Linked DNA regions of Lytechinus pictus. The protein of the gene in region 1 interacts with the protein of each later gene in a pairwise test. Links are inferred from orthologs where the notes say so. Each region holds a gene or a part of one and is shown in the gene's direction. Other genes may lie near its edges.

The links. The genes of interacting proteins can lie anywhere in the genome.
Region 2: the proteins of phosphorylated adapter RNA export protein-like (region 1) and cytoplasmic dynein 2 light intermediate chain 1-like interact in a two-hybrid assay, tested with the Drosophila melanogaster proteins (2 studies listed by BioGRID). The link is inferred for Lytechinus pictus from reciprocal best matches to the Drosophila melanogaster genes Phax and CG3769.

Annotation. Positions count from the first base shown.
Region 1 is NC_087249.1:4,989,337-5,000,023, reverse strand, and holds the start of phosphorylated adapter RNA export protein-like, read left to right. Parts: upstream 1-5,485; 5' UTR 5,486-5,564; exon of another isoform or gene 5,565-5,859; intron 5,860-7,173; 5' UTR 7,174-7,203; coding exon 7,204-8,082; intron 8,083-9,490; coding exon 9,491-9,985; 3' UTR 9,986-9,990; exon of another isoform or gene 9,991-10,687.
Region 2 is NC_087251.1:11,933,401-11,944,361, forward strand, and holds the start of cytoplasmic dynein 2 light intermediate chain 1-like, read left to right. Parts: upstream 1-5,381; 5' UTR 5,382-5,538; coding exon 5,539-5,549; intron 5,550-7,792; coding exon 7,793-7,866; intron 7,867-8,184; coding exon 8,185-8,240; intron 8,241-8,672; coding exon 8,673-8,777; intron 8,778-10,961. Other genes in the region: clathrin heavy chain linker domain-containing protein 1-like, read right to left, coding at 1-33, 432-629.

The DNA of each region.
Region 1 (10,687 bases):
GACAAACCCTCTGAAATATATTTCCCTAACTAAGTGAAGCTTTACGCTGGCAAGTGTTACCGTAAACGGTTGCATCTCCAAAGCTACCGAGGCTCTGCCCCATGCAGACCCCATGCAGCAGACGGGCCCCTCTGTGGACCCTTCCTGCATTAATTTTAGCTTCACGTGGAAGCATTGGCGTACGGGGGGAGGGGACTTGGTTCAATTCAATTAAATTCAATTAATTTTTCATTCTTCAACATAATACAAATAAGTACAAGATAAATTGATTCAATCTAAATAAAAGCATGAACAAAATTCAACATTGAATAGAAATGATATACATATTCAATAAGTAATTCAAATATAAATCAACATGCATGTCAAGTTTAAATCAATATAATCAATACAATTGAATATAATTAAATCAATATAATTATATATCATGAGAAGAATGGAGGGGTCCACTGAAAAGCAAAGCTTGTAGAATGTGGACCCCTCAAAAAGTCAGATACAAAGGTTCCACAGTCAAGGAGAAATAAAAGAAAATAAAGGAGGCATCGGAATGAAAAATGAATGAAAAACAATTTTGCTGAATATAATGTAAAAATCTGTTGCATAATCATAATTTCAGTTCACAGGCCAACTTTTTCTGTTTCGCTTCGCTTGCTGGCGACTTTTAACAAATTTTCCCACATTTGCTATGTTGTGCCCCTTCAAAATATATGGCATACTACGCAACTGCGTTGAATTTGTTGTGTAAAGATATACCCGCGGTAATCTGTAAGGTTTAAAATGGCGTTGATATCAAAAGGTTCCAGGGACCCCACCCGCGTAGCATTGGCGGACAGAATATTGATGGTTCGGGCCATAGCCCTTCCAAGAACAAAAAAGAAAGAAGCGAAAAGTGTAAGATATGATGTAATTTTCTGAATATCTGGCCAAAATCTATTTCAAATTATTATGAAAGGTGATTTTTTTCACTCAGGCTTTTGCCACACGCGACATACTGTGCCCCCCTTTTTTTTTTACTCCTTACCCTATACTGCCGCATAGAGCTTCGCCCTTTGGCTTCGCCATAATGCTCGTGCACAATCATAAAAAAAATCCTGGCGTAGCTAGAGACCAAGGAAATAAAAGACTAAAGAAAAGGAAATAGCGAAGGGTGAAATATCATTAATTTAATGATATTTCACCCTTCGCTATTTTAAAAATACCTGTTCACAGCGGCGTACAGACCAAGAAAAAAAAAAGAAAAAAGGAAAGGAATTAGCGAAGGGTGATATATACTTTCTAAATATTATGCTAAAATCTATCACAAAATTTGAGTTTTGTAATGAAAATGTCGAAATTTTTTGCTCGCTCGCTTCGCTCGCTTCTAGTATAGCTTTTTTGAAAAATATTTTTCCCCGCTTCGCCATATCTGGGGCCCGTCTTACAAAGAGTTGTGATTGATCCATAGAGTTGGATACGCTTTATCCAACTCTATGGATTGATCCGATCAATCGCAACCATGGAAAGCCAGCAAAGTCAACATATAAAATACACGTTCATAAAAAATTCTAAATATGAATGTATATCCATAAATTCATTGATTAATAATTCTTGACAATTTGGTGTGTTCTCCTTTGTGTACAAAGGACATATTGCAAATTTCCTGTAGAAAAAAATTATGACACTGTTGGATTTCCATATAGAGTTACGATTGATTGGATCAATCGTAACTCTATGTAAGATGGGGCCCTGGCCCCCTAAATTTGTTTGCTTCATTACGTCACTGCTTGTTCATACCTAGCTTTTATGACCGGGAAATTTCGGCTCTTGACCCCCCCCCCCTCCCGCCCGCCCTTGCAACCGACCCCTAATATGCCCCTGTAGGCATATTTGTAGGGATCTTAAGACGTGATGGAGTAGACGCTTTCTGGAACATTGAGAATCTATTGTCAAAAGCCCTTCATGACAAAGCAGTTTTTGTCGAAAATCGGTGGTTCGAAACGGCAGTGTCGCCCTGGCAGGGCCGTAGCTAGAGGGGGGGTATGGGGGGGTGTGACACCCCCCCCCAATATTCATGGCAGTCGGCAAAATCATGTACCAGTTGGCAAAATTGGTGGTGATTTTTTTTTTTTTTTTTTACCTGATTGCTAAGAAAGCATGAATGCTTGTAAGCAGGAGGATAGGGGAGAAAAAGAAAGAGGGAAAGAAAGAAAAGAAAGAAGGAAGGAAGGAAGGAAGGAAGGAAGGAAGGAAGGAAAGAAAGAAAGAAAGAAAGAAAGAGAGAAAGAAAGAAAAAAAGGAAAGAAAAATAGGGGTACTAACTTCGAAGAAGGTTACGACGTATAGAGTAAGGACAACCAGTTAATTGGCAAATCCAAGTCCATGTAGCCAGACTTAGAGCCCTACTAGTCAGCAAAATACAAAGGACAAAACAGATGGAGCTATAAACCTATAATAACACATAAAGTAAGCCCCTGGCCCTCCCCAAATATAAACAAGCTTGTGAGTTTGCAAATTATACCACAATTATTGACGATTTAACAAACATATTAGTTTTGTAAAATTAGAGGCAAGACTAGGTAAAGAAATATGGGGTGGGATGAATTTCCAAGGTTTAAGTTGAATAATCAAAGCCAAAGTATAGTTGGCAAATTATAAAGTGGGCCTATTAAAGTGGCAGAACACTAAACGCTCTACCAGTCAGCAAAGTGATGTACAAGTACTGCGCCGTTTCAGATCTAAAAAGAACAGAACACAAGACTTAACTGGTAACTCTGCAGTTGGCAAATTCCTGAAGACAAGTCTACAACTTGTAGACTTGTCTACAAGTTTGCAGTTGGCAAAAAAACCCAAAAATGTTCTAAGTTATTTTTACTAAATTCTGTCACCGAAGATTTGACAATTCAAGAAGTCTATTCTTCCTCTCACTTGGAATGCTCGCAAGCTTCTCATGACAGCACCAATAAGTGTTGCAAAGGATGAACGCACCTTCAGCCATATGAAGTTTATGAAGAACTTTTATAGATCAACCAATGTAGTGACTGCCCCCTTTTAAGGCCTTAAAATATAAAACATTTCCAGTCTGTGCTTACGTTCGCATTGATGTGGACCGATAAAGATACCGGGCTGGTGTTAAATCAACACCGGCGTCTTTACAGTGCACGAATTCCTAAAGACAGTCCTTAAAATTTTCTGATCTAATTATAACAAATTTTCAGCTCGCGCTTTGTGCTTGCATCACTTGATTAATGAAATAGTAAATTCCTACAAACAAGCCATAGAATGCCCCTCTTCAGGTCTGAATTTCAAAAATTGTCAACTCGCGCTTCTGGGCTGCAATATTTCATTAGTGAAATACGTATCATGTTTATGATTACAATGACCACAAAAAGTGCTTCATGTGCTTAGGTGTAATTCTAACAAAATAAGCAAGCGCTTGGCGCTCGCATTAGATGACTATGATGAGATACGTACGCACTTCATGAATTCCAAAAGATAGTCCTTAAAATGTCCCTTTTTAGGGTCAAGTTATACAAAAAAAATCAGCTCGCGCTTCGCGCTCGCATTGTTTGTTTTGTGAGACAGGTGTGTATCATGATTACAAAACTTTGCTTATGATGTCACTTTTTAGGACTGAATATCAAACATTTTCAGATCGCGCTTCGCTCTCGCATTATTTGATCACTAAGATACATATCCGTTTAATGGCACAGTCCTTAAAATGTCTCTATTAGGTCAGTATACCTGGCAATTGAGCGCGCTTCGCGCGCCCACAATGACTCAAATTTTTTGCTGGTGCCCCCCACCATTACTGTGACCCACGGTACGCCTCTGTTAGCACTAGCACTCTCGAAATTTTAGTTGAGACATCTTGCACAGAAGGTCAATTAAAAATTAACAAATCTTTGATTTTGATGTTATTAATGCATAGGGTATATCATTATACTGCAAGTTAGCAACTACGGCACACTAGCCTTTCTATTTTGATCCAAAATGTTTATTTTTACAGTGCAAATATCTTTGTATATCTTTGTATAATTTACCTTAAAGTATTCACCAAATGCCATTTATTCAATTCTAAAAATTCAAAATCTTTTAGCATGTGATTATTGGGGGGGGGGGTCAAATCCCCCATCAGACTCCCCCTGTGCTCACGTTGGTGCGATCACGCCAAATTTAGTTGGCAAATTCAGCTGGTACACCCCCCCCCCCCAACAAAATGCTTCTGGCTACGGCCCTGCGCCCTGGACTATGAACAAACGACATAATTATTTGCAAATTTTTGTAATTTGACAGACATTTTCAATAGATTTACTATTGTAGATTCGGTCTCCGTTGCCTTTGGTTTGGTATGACTCGGCCGGGGATTGAACCTACGACCTCCCGTTCATGATCGAGGCGGGCACTCTACCACTGAGCCACCATGCCATTGTGCCTCGGGCATGACAATCGTTTGTGAAAAATCCGGGTCTGAAAGGAGTAGACTTGGAGCTATAGTCCCGAAATTATCAAGACAATATCATTTATGAAATTTCACAAAGTGTCCAAAGATTTATGGAGAGTCAATTTTTTTTTGGACCGACATTGCGACATAATTTCGTAAATTGCGGAGAACATCTCGGGTGATTTTGTCCTGTAGTATGATTTGGAAAAAGGAGGCAGTAACTTAATTCAGAAGTAAAATGTTAACAAAACTTAATGTAAGCCATCAAACACGATTCAACAAGAACGTACATTATGCAAATGGAGATATTACTAGTATTCATTGCAGTAGCGTAAGCAGGAATTTCTAAGGGGGGGGGGGGTTCAAGCTGAATGAAATGTTTACAACAACACAAAAAATACGTCGTCTCGTATAAAAAAAATAGACAAGCAAAAAACAAAAAAGGTCTTCAAAAAAAAAATTCTAAATAATGACCAATACAACAGTATTTCAACTATGACATGACCGTGCGGGAAATCGCAATAAAGACTCTGGTATAAGTTATCACAAGCTAAATAATTGATATAATATTAGCTTAGCATATGAAGTGCAGATTTTTGTTTCACTCTGCATATGTGGTTTAAACATATAGAGATATATACTAATAACGCATATTAGTATATATATCTCTATGGGTTTAAACTATACGATGGTTGATGCTAAACATCAGCGGCATTTAAGAACCCACAAGCCAATTCTATATAGGCCTATCGCTTAAAAGCTGAATATGTTCTCTTTTTATATTGTATGCAGCCAAACCGTGCGAATTTGTATTATTTACGAATTATTCTGCTCGAAAAAAGGACTTTTACACTTTTGGATGTGAAACGTGCAATGCAGGGCCGTTGGGTATAATGCACCGGGGAATAATTTTGTTTAAAAAATAAGTACAGATAGTAATTGATTTACCTTTTTTAGATTCCATATCAAATAGTTTGTATAGTATTTACAGTCATATGCAGAAATTACCAAAGCAAGATACAAATTTGTATACATGTGAATTTTAAAAAATTTCTTTCTTATAGTTATATTTGCGTTTGGACGTTTCGGCGACACTATAATTGTTTGATGATGTCTCCAAATTCTAGCCGGAACCAGTAGTAAAAGTGTACGTTATTTTGTCAATTAGGCCTCAGCCTACTCTTCTAATTTGATTTATTAATGTGTAAATACTTTTTTAACTGACTGAAGTTTGAAGTTTGTGTTTGAGGCATGAATGGTGACATATATTTAGGAATATATTTCATACGTTTCTTGTCTACACGTGCCCAGATACCGACTTTCGTGTGAGCTCTCGATCGACTCTCGTGTAAACAACACCACAAAAACAACAGACAATGACAGACGAACAGTCAATTTAACTCAGTGACACTTAGATCTGTGACTGTGTACTTGATCAAACGGTAGTATTTTGAGTTTTGTAAAAAATATGAATTCAGCTACAAGATGCATATCGAGGATATGCGTCTTGTACTGAGTTGTACTTGTAGTTGTACTGTCTACTGAAGTGGTAGCTTGGCGAAAAAGTAAAGGCTAGCAGTAGCATGAAGAGAACAAGATCATGAAGATGGCTAATTGGCTATGTAAAGAATCGCTGCAAGTTTTCCCCGTCTTTTCTGGATGTGGATGTATACGATAAAGGGCCCTCCCGGGCATAAACGCATTGGGTACTTGACCTGAATATTGCCGAGACCGGCAGGTGCAATACACCGGGTGAACACCCTACTCTTTGACGAATAGTGTATTGGTTTTAACGTGCATAGGAATTGTGACTCTCCTATAGCCTAGGCTATACACGGGACCAACATTTGCGTCCTTTCCGATGGACGGAGTGTTTTCCAACTGCATTCACACCTGCACTGAATACAGTGGTGAGGCAAGTTAACACACAACGCTATAGCATCAGACTTTTGTTTTGTTAGACGCGTTTCGGCATGATCGGGACTCGAACCCCTCACGTTGAGATCTACAATCTCCAAAATATGCGCTCTAACTTACTGAGCTACGCTGCCTCTTTTCATAATATTTTTCTTGTTTTTTAATGAATTCTTGTTTTAAAATGAAATCAATATTGTAGTAATGTCGGAAATTAAGTTGTATCCCATTTACAGGATTTAGGGCTAAATCTTTTAAAAGGAAAGTTGAAATCTCGGGGGGGGGGGGGGGGGGGCGAAATTTTTTTTTTCGCTGTTCATGCACATGAATGGGACACAATCCCTGGCTACGTGGAGAGTAAGCGCACATTAGTGAATGATTTTTACTCTCTAGCCCGGAGCCCACCATAGGCGGCGGAAACGGGGGGGGGGGGGGGACGTGTCCCCCCCCTAAATTTTAGGTGGGGGGGGACGGACCCGCCCTAAATTTTTTGTTGGTAACCTTTTTTTTTTTTTTTTGGCTTGTCAAATTTTTTTTGTGGTCCCCCCCTAAAATTTTTGGCTTCCGCCGCCAATGGATCCCACCAATTCTTTCTGGGTGGATCAGCGCAGATATGTCGTCGTGAGATATATCCAGCTTTATTCATGAAAAAACAAACATGGATTGATATAGGTTCAACTACCAAAGTGCTATTTCAATTCTTTTTCTTTAATAATTTTTGGTTAATTTATTTAGTATTTGTTGTTAATTTACTATTGAAAAGTCAAATCATTCTATAAGTGCAGGTAGATGCTGGCTAACATCACCTTATCTTATTACTGATTCATCACTTCTCTTTGCAGATCTATCTTTTTGTAGTATTGGAATTCAACATGGCAGCCTTCACACAGCGTCAAACAACACCTAAAAAGAAAGATTTACCAAGAGGGAGCATTAGAAAGTTTGAACTGAGTGATGAAGATGATTCAAGTGATCAGAGTGACAGTGATGATGAACAGTCCTGGAAGCGTCGAAAGACAGCACCTGCCTTGTCCTTGTCTGAGTCTTCATTCTACAGGGATCAGCAGAAGCAGGGAAAGAGTTCTGAGAGACCAGACAACAGGTCTTCAAGGATGAAAGATGGAGACAGAGGAGTGGTTACAGTAGGGAAGAGGCGGAAGAACAACATCTGGGGTTCTGTAGCCGTAGAGCAGAACCAGGAGGTTGTCGAGAGGGAAATCACACATTTTGGTGTTGATCAGGTCATGGAACGGGATGTTGAGAGCTACAGCTACAAAGATACAGAACAGCTCCCTCTTGGTGTAGCCACAAACATTCCTCCTGGAGATGATGTCATCAAGGGTAGAAAGCTGGTGAAGGCAGTAGGGGAGGATGAGGATGACGCTTGGCTTGCAAATGATCCACCAAGACATAGTGAGCAGGAGGAAGAAGAACTAGAAAGACCACATGATGACCTTCGGGAAAAATTAAAGAAGCGTGGCTCCATGGTTGCTGACAGGTTCCGGCGCTCCAACGTAAAGAGCAGGCTTGGAAATCATTCAGACAGTACTGAACAGGTCGTCCTGATGAAGAAGGTGGAGATTGACCCCAGTGCTGAGAAAAAGGTTATCGCAGGTCAGCTTGCTTTCAGCCTCCAAGAGCCAAAGAGAGAACTTATTCTGAGAATAGTCAAGATTCTTGGAGTCGAGAAGGCACTTCAGATATGGAAGCAAACAGAGGAGATTGAAAATGATGGTGGAATGATGATAGCGGTAAGAAATGCTATGAATAAAAATATTTTTTTATGTTTCATCAATTGGGTTTAGGGGTGTAGTGGCACCCTCAACATTTTTTTTTAATTATACGCCCCGTCTCGACGGGACGTATTATGGTATCACACTTGGTGTCCGTCCGTCCGTCTGTATGTCCGTTCCGTCCGTTAACTTTTCCTTGTAAACACGATAACTTCAGTTTAACTTAACCTAGGCTCATATGATTTGGTGTGTATAATACTAGCATGGATCCCAGGAAGCCTATTGATTTTGAGGTCAAACAGTCAAAGGTCAAGGTCACAGTGACATATTTTCATCTTACCACTTTGCAGTCCTTGTAAACGCGATAACTGCAGTTTAACGTTACCTAGGCTCATATAATTTGGTGTGTATGATACTAGCATAGATCCTTGCAATTCTATTCATTTTTAGGCCAGAAGGTCAAAGGTGAAGTTGCCACCTTTTACTTTTCTTGCTTGACCAATAACTCAATTTTCCGTGTTACAGACAGGCGTATTATGTGCTTGCCTTAGCAACACTCTTGTTCATGATATATGAGAGGCAAAATTTTGAATGCATGCATTTGAGAATCCATCTAATTAAATTTGATCTGCCACGCATTGATGCTCTTTCCATTCAGTAATGAGTAGGATGTTGGTTTTCTTGCATAAGTGTACCTGAAAAGAAGGTCATTTGAGCCTTTTGGGGGTATTTAAGGAACTGAAAGTGGAAGAGTTTTCTTTAGCCTACATTACATTCATAATGACATCACCAATGGTACTGATTTGAAAGTCTCCCTAGGTATTACATGTAATTTATAGTGAATACAACTTTTTGAGAATTCATATTCTCATTGTTTGTCTGGTATACTTAAACTGTTCTTCTCGCTTGATATACATGTAGAGTACCGAAGCGATGAGGTCAGTTGCCATGGTGTCATGGAGGCCTGGATCTAAACAAATGAACCCCCCCAAAGAAAGCGTGTGTTTCTCATAGGAGAAAATGACTGCTATCGGAATTTGATTGCTTGCAACCCATTTTTCAGATGAGCCAAAGTCATACAAATGTGTACAGACGATCGTCAGCTGCGACTCTGTTTAGAACCAGCACCCATGACACCATGGCAACTGATGTCACACTTTGGTGCTCCATATCTTCTTCCTCTAAAACAGCTTTTCCTTTAGACTGATCCCCTTTTATATTAGATTACGTATTTAAAGGCAAACATGGTTTTGGCTTTGAGATATAGAGCCCTGCCTGTAATAGTCTGAAATGGTTTTGTTTTTTAAATATTGGGTCACTTGTAATCTAACAAACCACAAAAGACCAGTGACTGTTTTTGTTCTGTCAAACACCACACTCATCAATTATGATAATTCAATGTAAATCTAACTATTTCCTCTCTTAGAACCAATCAAGGCGGCGATCACCGGGTGGGGTATTTATCCAGCTGATGAAGACAGATCCAGACATCTCCAAAGAAACCATCAAGGACATCTTCGCAGAAGAGAAGAAGATCTTTGAAGCAGAGCGGAAAAAGAGGAGAAGGCACACCAGAAAGTCTGCAGCCTTCCACAAGGATGGGGATGATCACCCTGGAAACAGGGAGGAAGAGATGGAGGAAGCAGGATTTGAGGGAGATGGAGAGGCTGTTGGTGAAATGGACATGAGAGATGATAGAGTTCCGAAGTTAGATGATGAACCATGTGTGAATGAAATGGAGCCAATGCCGGATGAACCATCAAACCTTGATCCTCTGGATTGTGGAGTACCCTTGCCTCAGAAGGAGTGCAGTGATATCAAAGAGGACAATGATAATATGATGTTCCCAAAGCTAGATGACATCCCACAGAGGAATGATGACTCTGATCCAGAAGATGGAGAAGTTTTAGATGATGATTGATTCAAGTAAGCTGATGTTGTGCATGCTTTCTGGTATGCCTATTTCCAACAGGTTTACATTTGCTATATCAATTTGTGACATGGGTCCTGAAATTGATTATTTTGATTCAAAAAGAGAAGTACTTGTTATTACATTATGATTGATTCATGGAGAGCAATTCATTAAATCAATATTGTTATAAGTTACTGAAATCTTTCCACCTGATTGGATGAAATGAAATGGAACAGTGAAAATCATGGACAAGATACTTCATGAAACTCTCCCCAGTGTGTCTATGCATTGCATACTTTCCTTTATGCCATTTTCTAACAGGTGTAATTACATTTGTTGTATCACGTTTGTGACATGGGTCCATAAGTTGGTTATTTTTATGCAAAAAGAATTATGATTTTCAAGATTTTAACAGAGAAAATTGATGAATTATAAGAAACACATGTAAAATGGAATCAAATGATGATCTTGTTTTGCCTTGCCTGGATAGCATAAGTGAGGTGGCCGCGACATCATCAACATCAAAATCCTAACTACAGTTAAAGTTTTTTAAATGTCATCACAACTTTGAGAGTATTTATGGGCCTATTTCATGGAACTTGGACATCAGGGCAATGAAGTGTCACTTATTATGTAGTATGAAGATCAGCTCACGTAAGGTCAAACGTCATTGGGGTCAATGAACATAAACCATGTTGTATCACCATTATA
Region 2 (10,961 bases), on another chromosome or scaffold:
GAGGGACTTGTAGGCAGAAACATTGTCAATAATCTAGGGGAGGGAGAGATAAAAAGAATATAATTTATTGTGTCAAACAATTTTAAAAGGTTTTCTTTTCTTTTTATTTATTTATTAACCACTCGTGGGATGGAACATCCTATCAGCAAATGCTGCCAGGGGTCCATAAATCTGCCCCCACCTCTAAACATCTCCCCTAAAAAAAATCCAGGTTAAAAAACTCAACACATTCTAATACCTTTTTTCAGATTGTTTACAAGGTATCATCACTTTTTTCTTCCCAATCAATCATGGATAAACATCTTTATTGTGTTCATTTTCAGATATCTTCAATATCATCATTATTACAATGCATGCCAATTCTCTTCTCACTGGAGAACATTTTCTCAAGTTTCACTGGAGATTCTCCTCAACATGATGCTCATACAAACCTGATCAAAGGCTCCTTTGTAGATGGCATATCGATGAGGGTCAGGCCCTTCCTCTGCACATTCTACCCTGGCTACCTCCACGTTGATCTGATCTTCAAGTTCCTTCAAGAACTGCTTGTAGACATCAGGGCTGGGCGATATGGGCGGCAGGACCTGACGAGATCCTTGAATGGACTGTGGTTGCGGCATCTTGCTCATCTATATGCAAGTGACAAATTTAAAATCTACTTGATGAGTTAATGAGTTCATAAAAATCACAAATACCATGTTATTTTCTGGGTACACATTTCAAATAAGGTTTAAAGTTGAATTAGAATTTGCTCCAATAAAAAAAAAGGCTAATCATTTATTCATTTTTTTCAAAGTTTTCGACCAAATTATTATTTTTCTTTTATGAAGACATAAAACGATAGACAACTTGTGTTATATTTCACTTACTGCTACAGGGGAATAGGTACCTATGACAAAACCAAAAATCTCTGATAATTAAGTACCGGCCTATTGGGAAAGTTGTCTCTTGGCTCTAATTCAAATCTCGGCCAAAAGCCCCACACTCTGTTTCGTTTGACTGTTGTTCTGCCAGACTACGTCTTGTTCCTCCATCATTCTTACACTCTGTACAGGGAAACGATGTCCCCAAAATTAAAAATATAGGTCTACATGTATGAAGGATATTAGTTTTGAAAATAAGTGCAATTACGATTCAATAATCAAAACCCATTTTGGGCAAATTCGGTTGGTGCCAGGGGAATATATTATTAGACTCTGATGCCATTTATTGATATTGGGTCTAGATTTAATATGCCATAGAAAATGCCTAAGATCATGGGTTTTAGGGGACTAAAATTATTTGCACACTAAGTGGTTGCTAACCTCACCCAAGGCAACTCATCCCAGTACATCACACTATAAAATAAATAATCCTGCCCCATTCATGCGGGTGCTGCCACCCCCACCCCTCCTCTCTGGGTAGGGAGGTTGGGCCGGGGAGGGGCTATCAATAATTGGAGCGTTGTGGCCCAATGGATTAGTCTCCGGACTTTGAAACAGAGGGTCGTGGGTTCGAATCCCAGCCATGGCGTAATTTCCTTCGGCAAGAAATTTATCCACATTGTGCTGCACTCAACCCAGGTGAGGTGAATGGTTACCTGGCAGGAATTTATTCCTTGAAATGCGTGTGCGCTGTAATCTTAGTAATTACGGCTGCCAAGCTACAGCTGGGGTAATAATATCCAAGTCCTTTGGAAGCGCATAGAGACATTACTCATAATTGTGATATGCGCTATACAAGAACTGTTTATTATTATTATTATTATTATTATTAATTAATAGCCAGTGTGATTATAGATCAAAAGCTTAGGTCTCTGTTACATTGGTTGTTCTACTGAGCTCCGTTGGCTCCACTCACCAATTACAGTTCTATCCTGATCTGTACAGGGACTCAATGGCAGAAATAGATTAAAAAGTTGCTTTTAATTTTTATGCATGAGATACCTTCTCCTAACATTGTCCTCCATATTTGTACTATCTCCTCTTTTGAAAAAACCGCACTGCACACTCACCTCAGTCTCATCTTACATTGTCCTCTACATATATTTTATCATTATACATTCTTTAATTGTTAACACCTCACTGTACACTTAATTGCCTCAGCTCATCTTACATTGTCCTCCACATCATCATTATACATTCTTTGATAAAACCTCATTGTACACTTGCCTCATCTCATCTTACATTGTCCTCCATATATATTTGTATTATCTCCTCTTTTGAAAAAAACCCTCACTGTACACTTGCCTCAGCTCATCTTACTTTGTCCTCTACATATATTTTATCATTATACATTCTTTGTTAACACCTCACTGTACACTTAATTGCCTCAGCTCATCTTACATTGTCCTCCACATCATCATTATACATTCTTTGATAAAACCTCATTGTACACTTGCCTCATCTCATCTTACATTGTCCTCTATATATATATCTATTATCTCCTCTTTTGAAAAAACCTCACTGCACACTTGCCTCATCTCATCTTACATTGCCCTCTACATATATCTTATCATTCTTTGATAAAACCCCAGTGTACACTTGCCTCATCTCATCTTACATTGTACTCTACATCATCATTATAAATTCTTTGATAAAACCTCACTGTACACCTGCCTCATCTGAGTCATCTCATCTTACATTGTCCTCCATATATCTCCTCTTTTGAAAAACCTCACTGTACACTTGCCTCAGCTCATCTTGCATCATTGTCCTCTACATACATTCTTTGATAAAACCTCACTGTAGACTTGCCTCATCTCATCTTACATTGTCCTCCATATATATTTGTATTATTTCCTCTTTTGTAAAACCTCATTGTACAATTGCCTCATCTTACATTGTCCTCCACATATAGTTGTATTATCTCCTCTTTTGAAAAAAACCTCACTGCACACTTGCCTCATCTCATCTTAGATTGTCCTCTACATATATTTCATCATTATACATTCTTTGTTAAAACCTCACTGTACATCTGCCTCATCTCATCTTACATTGTCCTCCATATATATTTGTATTATCTCCTCTTTTGAAAAAACCTCACTGTACACTTGCCTCAGCTCATCTTACATTGTCCTCCATATATATTTGTATTATTTCCTCTTTTGTAAAACCTCATTGTACAATTGCCTCATCTTACATTGTCCTCCACATATAGTTGTATTATCTCCTCTTTTGAAAAAAAACCTCACTGCACACTTGCCTCATCTCATCTTAGATTGTCCTCTACATATATTTCATCATTATACATTCTTTGTTGAAACCTCACTGTACACCTGCCTCATCTCATCTTACATAGTCCTCCACATATATTTGTATTATCTCCTCTTTTGAAAAAAACCTCACTGCACACTTGCCTCATCTCATCTTAGATTGTCCTCTACATATATTTCATCATTATACATTCTTTGTTAAAACCTCACTGTACACCTGCCTCATCTCATCTTACATTGTCCTCCATATATATTTGTATTATCTCCTCTTTTGAAAAAACCTCACTGTACACTTGCCTCAGCTCATCTTGCATCGTTGTCCTCTACATACATTCTTTGATAAAACCTCACTGTAGACTTGCCTCATCTCATCTTACATTGTCCTCCATAATATATTGGTATTATTTCCTCTACTATTAATACTTTTGAAAAAAAAACATCACTGCTTGCCTCACCTCATCTTGCACTGTCCTCCATATATATTTATATTATTTCCTCTTCTGTAAAACTTCATTGTACACTTTTATTTTCTGCACTATACTACTCATTCTCTGTTAAATAAACTCCTACGTTGTTTTATACACAAGCACCATTTGAAAACTCTCTTTGGTTATTTACACTCTGTATTGTACACACACACACCCATGCGCCGGCGACTTGAATCTAGACTGTTTGATGGGAAAAATTCGCATTTCGATTGTTGTTTGCGTAATTTCCACCGCAGTATTATTAGGATCGGACGGAGTATCTTGGCTGAGATTTGGAGGTAAGCGTTTAAAATCCCTTTTTATAAATACTTTTTAGCATATTTTTAAAATTGCATTCAATAAGATTAAGATGAATAAATTTAGTATATTGTGAAGATTTTGGCGTGTGTCATTCTCTCACATTCGTGTGATGAATGAAAACGTCAAAATTCATTATGAAATGACATGCGTTGTGCGAGGTTAGTACAACTAACCTCGCATGTTGTGTGACTGATCCGGAACAGGCGCTCTAAGTCTAACCGACTGAGCTACGCATTAGGCGTAGGAAGGTGTAAAAATCAATAAAATTCATAAACTTTACATGATTTTTGTCTTAAAAGATGGATTTCCTAGGGAAATCCATCTTTGTTTTGGTCAGTCTCTTATGCATCTATGGAAGAGTGTCAAGACGTCAATGATGAAGAAGAGTATATGTCAGGGGCCGATTGCACGAAAGGGTCTTTGCAAGGACCGTCTTTCGTGTCGCCCATTTTTTATGATGCGCCATGTGAAACGCATTTCAAATAAATTATCTGCAAACATATTTTATTCGTCCGTTAAAATAAACAAACTATTTGTTAATAAAATGATTGATGTGATGTCTCGCAAAGTTGTATAAATTTGATTTAAAAGCAAGCTTACGAATTGTATTTGTTTATCATAAATTTCAGAAACACCCCGCTTATAGCGTATCATAAAAGATGGGCGACACGAAAGACGGTCCTTGGAAAGACCCTTTCGTGCAATCGGCCCCAGGATTTTTAAAAGTCATCATCAAGACATCATTGCCATTGGCATTGCGTCCTCAAGACTAGGTAAATATGCTGTTCTTATTATTAAATGACGTTACTATTATCATCAATGCCGTTGTTATTATTATTATCATCAAAATTTACGCCCACAACAAGGTATGTTATTATTAATTATTATTATGTTCGGCCTATTTCTTATTACTAAAATAGGACTTAGGGCCTACACAAATCTGAACTTATGGGACTGTGGTCTAGGACTAGATCTGTGCACTTATTATTTACAACATTGTAAAGTAATACAAATAGGTTACAAAATAATAAAATAGATTTCCTACGAAAAAAAGAGGATGGGAACTCACCCAAATAATTTCCTCCGTCCAGTGACACTTCTGGATCAAACTTAAAAGAACAGAAAGAAAAGAATACCGAGGATCTAGCGATCTAACGTTAGAGAGGATAGGACCGCGGTGAAGCTCGACAGTTTGCCTGAAGTAATCGATTGAAATAAGATTCCAAATCAATCTGACAATATAAAAAAATAATTTGATGACACAATTTATTAATGATTTAAAAAAGGTTATTTGATAAACTATTTATATTTTATAATAATTAATTATTATATAAAAATGTATTTAAAATAGATATAAATGATAAATGTTACCTATAATCATTAAGAATGAACTCTCAGTAATAGACTAGTGCGCATGTTCACCCAAGAAATTCCTCTTGACGACTGTAAACAATTGAAATCTCGGTTCGGAAAAATGATGTTTTTATGTTGACCCCCGACTTCTTTATTTCTTATATCTTGTTTATTCCAGAATTCACTTGAGAAAAACAATCAGAGATGCCTAAATCGTGAGTATAAAATTTGCAATTATTTTACCTTTTTCCCCGATTGAATCACATCGTTATATACGTAAAAATTGATCCTCGACGTCGACTGAGCAGCGGCAAGGAGCAAGGCTTCCCCGAACTTCAGGGATCGTAACTTTGGAAGCTCCGCTGCGTTATGGCCCGATTGGTCGATTACGCACGATCACGAGTCACGACGGAGCTTCCAGGCCAGCCCAGCCCCAGGGGCAAGGCCAGGCCCCAGCCCCCGCAACCAGCCCAGCCCTAACGTTAGGCCGACTCACACGTATTTGCTAGCCAGGCGGCTTCTTGAGAGTAAAAATCATTTACTAACGTAGGCTTACTCTAAACGAAGCCAGGGTCAGGAGTCCTTTCTATTCATCTGCGTGTAGGCCTACCGCAAAAAACCCTGAAACTTTCGCCCCCGAGATTTCTACTTTCCTTCTAAAAAAGATCTAGCTCTAATTAATCATGTACATGGCCATGGGATAAAACTTCATTTCCGACATTTCTACGCTCTCGTTATTTTTAAACAAGAATTCATCAAAAAAAATGAAACAATATTGTGAAAAGACGGAAGACTCAGAGACTTGCCCGATGTTTACGCCGCCATCTTGTTTCTTATTGTACTTCCCCAACTCAATTAGATCTATAGATCCAACCTGGGTTAGACTATCTTTCAGATTGAACAAAAAAATGGTGCCCCATGCCATGTCTGTGCTTCCATTAACTTTACACACAATAAAGGGATTTATGCTGAAATTTAAAGGGAAATATTTGTATCTAGATTGAATAAATAGATGTATAGTAAATTCTAGCAAAATGCTTAAAATTTCATCAAAATCTGATAACAAATAGCGAAGACGAAGTAATTGAATTTTAAAGTTTAACAATATATTGTGAAAACAGTTATAATAATGCACGCCTTCATGAATATTCATTAGATGGGCTGATGATGTTACATTCCCACTTTCCTTTTTCTCATGTTATATGAAATCATAATTATTTCATTTTTTATACATGTGTGAATGATTTGTCTCTCTTGTAATGAAATACATTACTGCAACAATATATAATGCACTTAATCAGTTGTCATTACAATATTTCCTTGGAGGAACAAAAATTGAATAATCCAATTTCATTTCATATAATACAAAGAACAAGTGTGGATATGACATCATCAGTTTGCTCATTAAATATTCATGAAGACATGTGTAGAACTGTTTCACTGTAATAATGTTGATCTTTTCTTTAAAATGGCATAACTTTGGTATTCCTTGTCAGATTTTGATCAAACTTTGTCTCATTTTTCTTAATCTGTTCAAATCATATTACTTTCAGTCTGGAGTACCCCTTTAATGAATTCCAAACATAAAATACATGTTGACATTGTATTGCTAAGAAGTAGATCTATGTGTCTAGTTGTTTAGCAAAGAAGCCCTGATTGTTAAAGAAGGTATTACTCTTGCAATAATTGTATCATTATTTAATAGGTTAATGCCACTTCCTATAGGATACACATCTATATTATTACAGCACAAATAAAAAAAAATGTAAAGGCACAGCAAATCTCGGCCAGAGGTACAGTATGTAAGTGAAAACAAATTTCCAAGGCCAATGAGAGGGGCATTGATGGCTATGAGGACAATCTAATCTACAACCATGGTCTTCTATGGCCTTGGATTATTTTAATTCAAGCCCTGCTGAGCCTACCATATATATATACATGTCAAATATTTACTTTAAAAAAACATGATATGTCACAAAGTATATCTTTTCTCTTTTTGCCCTTTTTAGTGAATAAAACTATGTTGTTTAATACTTAATCATTCTTTTGGAAAGTACATGTATCAAAAGCATCAAACATGTGGATGCGAAAGTCTGTAACAAGTTCCTATTACAGACTACACTGTCTAAACAGAAACAGTGTATCATTATTGCTTGGAAAAAGACCCCCTATTTAGCCTTTAATCCTGTGCTTATTTTGCTAATTCCTCAGCAAATATACAATCTCTTCCAGAATCTTTTGGCACATACATGTATTTCAAACAGACACATGGATAGTCATGTTATTAGATTCTATACGAATTCATTTTAAAATCGTGACCACCACCGGCATTATTTTCAAAATTTAGCTAAGAACCTATTCTTTTGAAAAATTTCCCATGGAAATCCCCATTTAAAATCAATCACATCTGGCTAATGTCTAAATTATCTGAATTATTGCATTTCTTGTATAATTTCAGTGTGGAGAAATCAATTTGGGACATTGCCATTCTTGAAGCTGAAAAGAAGAATGCTTCTGAATCCAAAGATGAGGGTAAGGTTGCCAGTTGCTTACAGACAGTTTGTTTTAGGCCAAGAATTCCATTTTGAAATTATCATATACTTCGTTATTTAATTAAATTTACAGAGTAAACAGTTAAAGAGGAAGGAGAAACTTGAAATGAGGAATCAGAAAAAGAGGAGGATGATAGTGATAGTGACAATGGTGACTAGGTGATAGTGATGTTGGTAATGATGATGATGCTGCTAAGTCTGATGATGATCCACTTTTGCCTTATAGAGTTGCTCTGTTACCCTATACTATGTGATTTCAGATTCAATTCTTCTTGCTTTATACAATTTTATATTCCAGGTGGCGAAACAAAGGGCTCAGAGAATCACATTTTGTTTATTGGCAGTAAAAATGCAGTAAGTTATCAAATAGGCCTATATGTTGCCACCAATGTCAGTGACATGTGCATATTTGTTTTGGAAACATAAATTTGACTTATTTGACATAATTTTGTTGATTTGGGCCAATATACATGTATAAAATTACTTGAAAATGTGTAAAACAGTTAATTAAACAATTATCACAAAATTCTACAAAATATTTCGTAAACAATGATTGTCATTAATTTCACCAATTTATTGTAATTTTATTGTAATCAAGATAGTTCATCAATAAGATCAATAATACAGAAAATGAATGATAAATGGCATATGCTATAATATGAAACTAATCTTGATTGTATCTTAGCACTGTACAATTTTATTTATTAAAGAGATACATCTGATGATGATTACATTTATTCATGTCAACTCAAAGCTACATCTTTTCTTTCTGTGCATTTTACCAAGGGAAAGACATCAATAATTCTCCGGTTTTTGGAGAAGGAGGAGGCACCAAAACCCACAATCGCACTGGAATACACATTTGGTAGAAGAGCTAAAGGTCACAATATGGTATGTTGTGCTGGTGTATTAGTTAATATTACAATTAAATGGTTGATAGTTCAATTTTTCTAGTTTCATTTTGTATGTTTTAACACAAATTGTACTCCTCTGATTTTGATGGTTTATAAATGAATTAAATATAATTCAGTGATATTTAACTCATCCATATTCTATTCATACATTTAACATAAGTCCAATTCTACTGATCTATTAACTGTTCAATATGATTTTTATTTAATTGTTCATATCATTAGATCTGATTACACATATCAATTTTACTTCACATATTTAATTCTCACCAATTATCAAGCTGTTTTACAACACACATTATTCTTTGTTTAATTATTGTTAAATTGAAAACACTCTACTTTTCACAAATTATCCTTTTGATGTCATACAATTTTAGATTCTAAAGAATTCTTGAATATATCTTGTTTAGTCACTTCTTGAGTATATTTTAAAAGTTTAAGAAAAAAGCACTTTTAGTAATTTCTCAGCTCATTCTATCAAATGCAGTGTTATATCGCATTTTACACATTAAAAAAATATTTTAACAACTGATATTTTAATTCACATCAAATGATATTATTTGAAATTATATTCCCTTTTTTAAATGTATGTTAATATTAAAATCAATTGACATTATATTTTGATTCTGCTGTGATTGTATAGGTTTTTATTTGTAATGATTTTGAAAACTTTCCACATTTGTTTAATTTTTGCAATATTTTTGCTTGGCTTTTTGTGATTCATCCCACAGTCCATACAAAACAGGGTAACAGATTTAGATATTTTATAATGGCTCATATCAGAAAATCTAGCAGGTGTTTTTACCAAGATTTTTGAAAAAAAAACTTTTTACTTTTAATAAACTCAACAAATACTCCCCAAATAATGTACTTTATATTCACACAAAATCTTTAGCCTCCTTTATCATAACATTTTGTCATTTCTTAAGAGTGAATGCTTAAATCAGATTTTTTTTTCCCCAGGATCTTCCTTTAGAATTTGGGTTTTCCTTATAAATTTACAATTTTTAGGAAAAGTAATTTACATGCTTGGAAAACTGCTTCGTTTGAAATTCACCAATGCAAATCCAGGGCTGAAGGAGTTCACCCAAGTCAAGAATAAGTTTTGAATTTTTTGCTCAACTTAAAAGAATGACTTTGTTTTTTTTTTAAATAGAAACTTTCATCTATCATTTTTTTTTCTGATTTTACACAAAACGAAAATGCCTGTAAATAAGTTTTCAAGTCATTTTATTATGTTTGCTAGAACTTTTTTTTTCTATTATGCCCAAATGTTTTTATACTACCCTGCATCTGCTAGTTTTCTTTGACATGGGCCATTGCATGATTTATTAGTTTAGTGATAGTGATAATACTTAGAGATATTGCATGCTTGTTAGACATACATGTATGTAGATGTATGTAGAATAATATTGTCGATGTGCATGTATCCAGCATGTTTTGTTTTATGCCTGCCTTCATGCCACTTAATGTATTCCCATTTTATAAACTGTAGCATGTTCATATTCAAACCACATTATTTTCAAACTGGAACACATTGCAAAATACTACAGTGAACAAGATTTATGCACTTGAAAGTGAAAGTTAACAGTTTGTATTATTTTTCTTAACAGTGATTTTTTATTTGGATCAATTTACTTGAAAACTTTTAGCATTCTAAGTCAGTTCATGATTTCTTTGCTTTGAAAGAGGAGTAATTCTTTACATTGACCATCTTGAATAATTAGTCAGCTTATTTAAAAATTTAGATTTAGCATTTTGGTGGAATTTGAAGATTTTACAGAATGCTACATGCCACAAAATGACATTGAATGAAAAAATAACACTGACAATTTTTTTTTGTGAGAGTAGAAAAACTACTAGCATTCATAAATTTTGGAAGTTAATTTTTTTTAATAGTACTGCTGGAATTCAGCATAAGATTGAGAAAAATCTTTTATGCACATTGGGATGAAATGATTATTATGTACATGTATATTGTCAGAATGTCAGTACACTTTATAGGTCTTTCCCCTAAGTAGTCTGATATTTTCTTGACTGAATGAGTTTGCTCTTTTTCTACTTTCTAGTGGTGTACATGTACTTAAGTAGGACAAGGGATAAGGATATGTTTTAGGACTGTACTTGCCGAGGGGATATGAATCACTTCTCTAATCAATTTAAA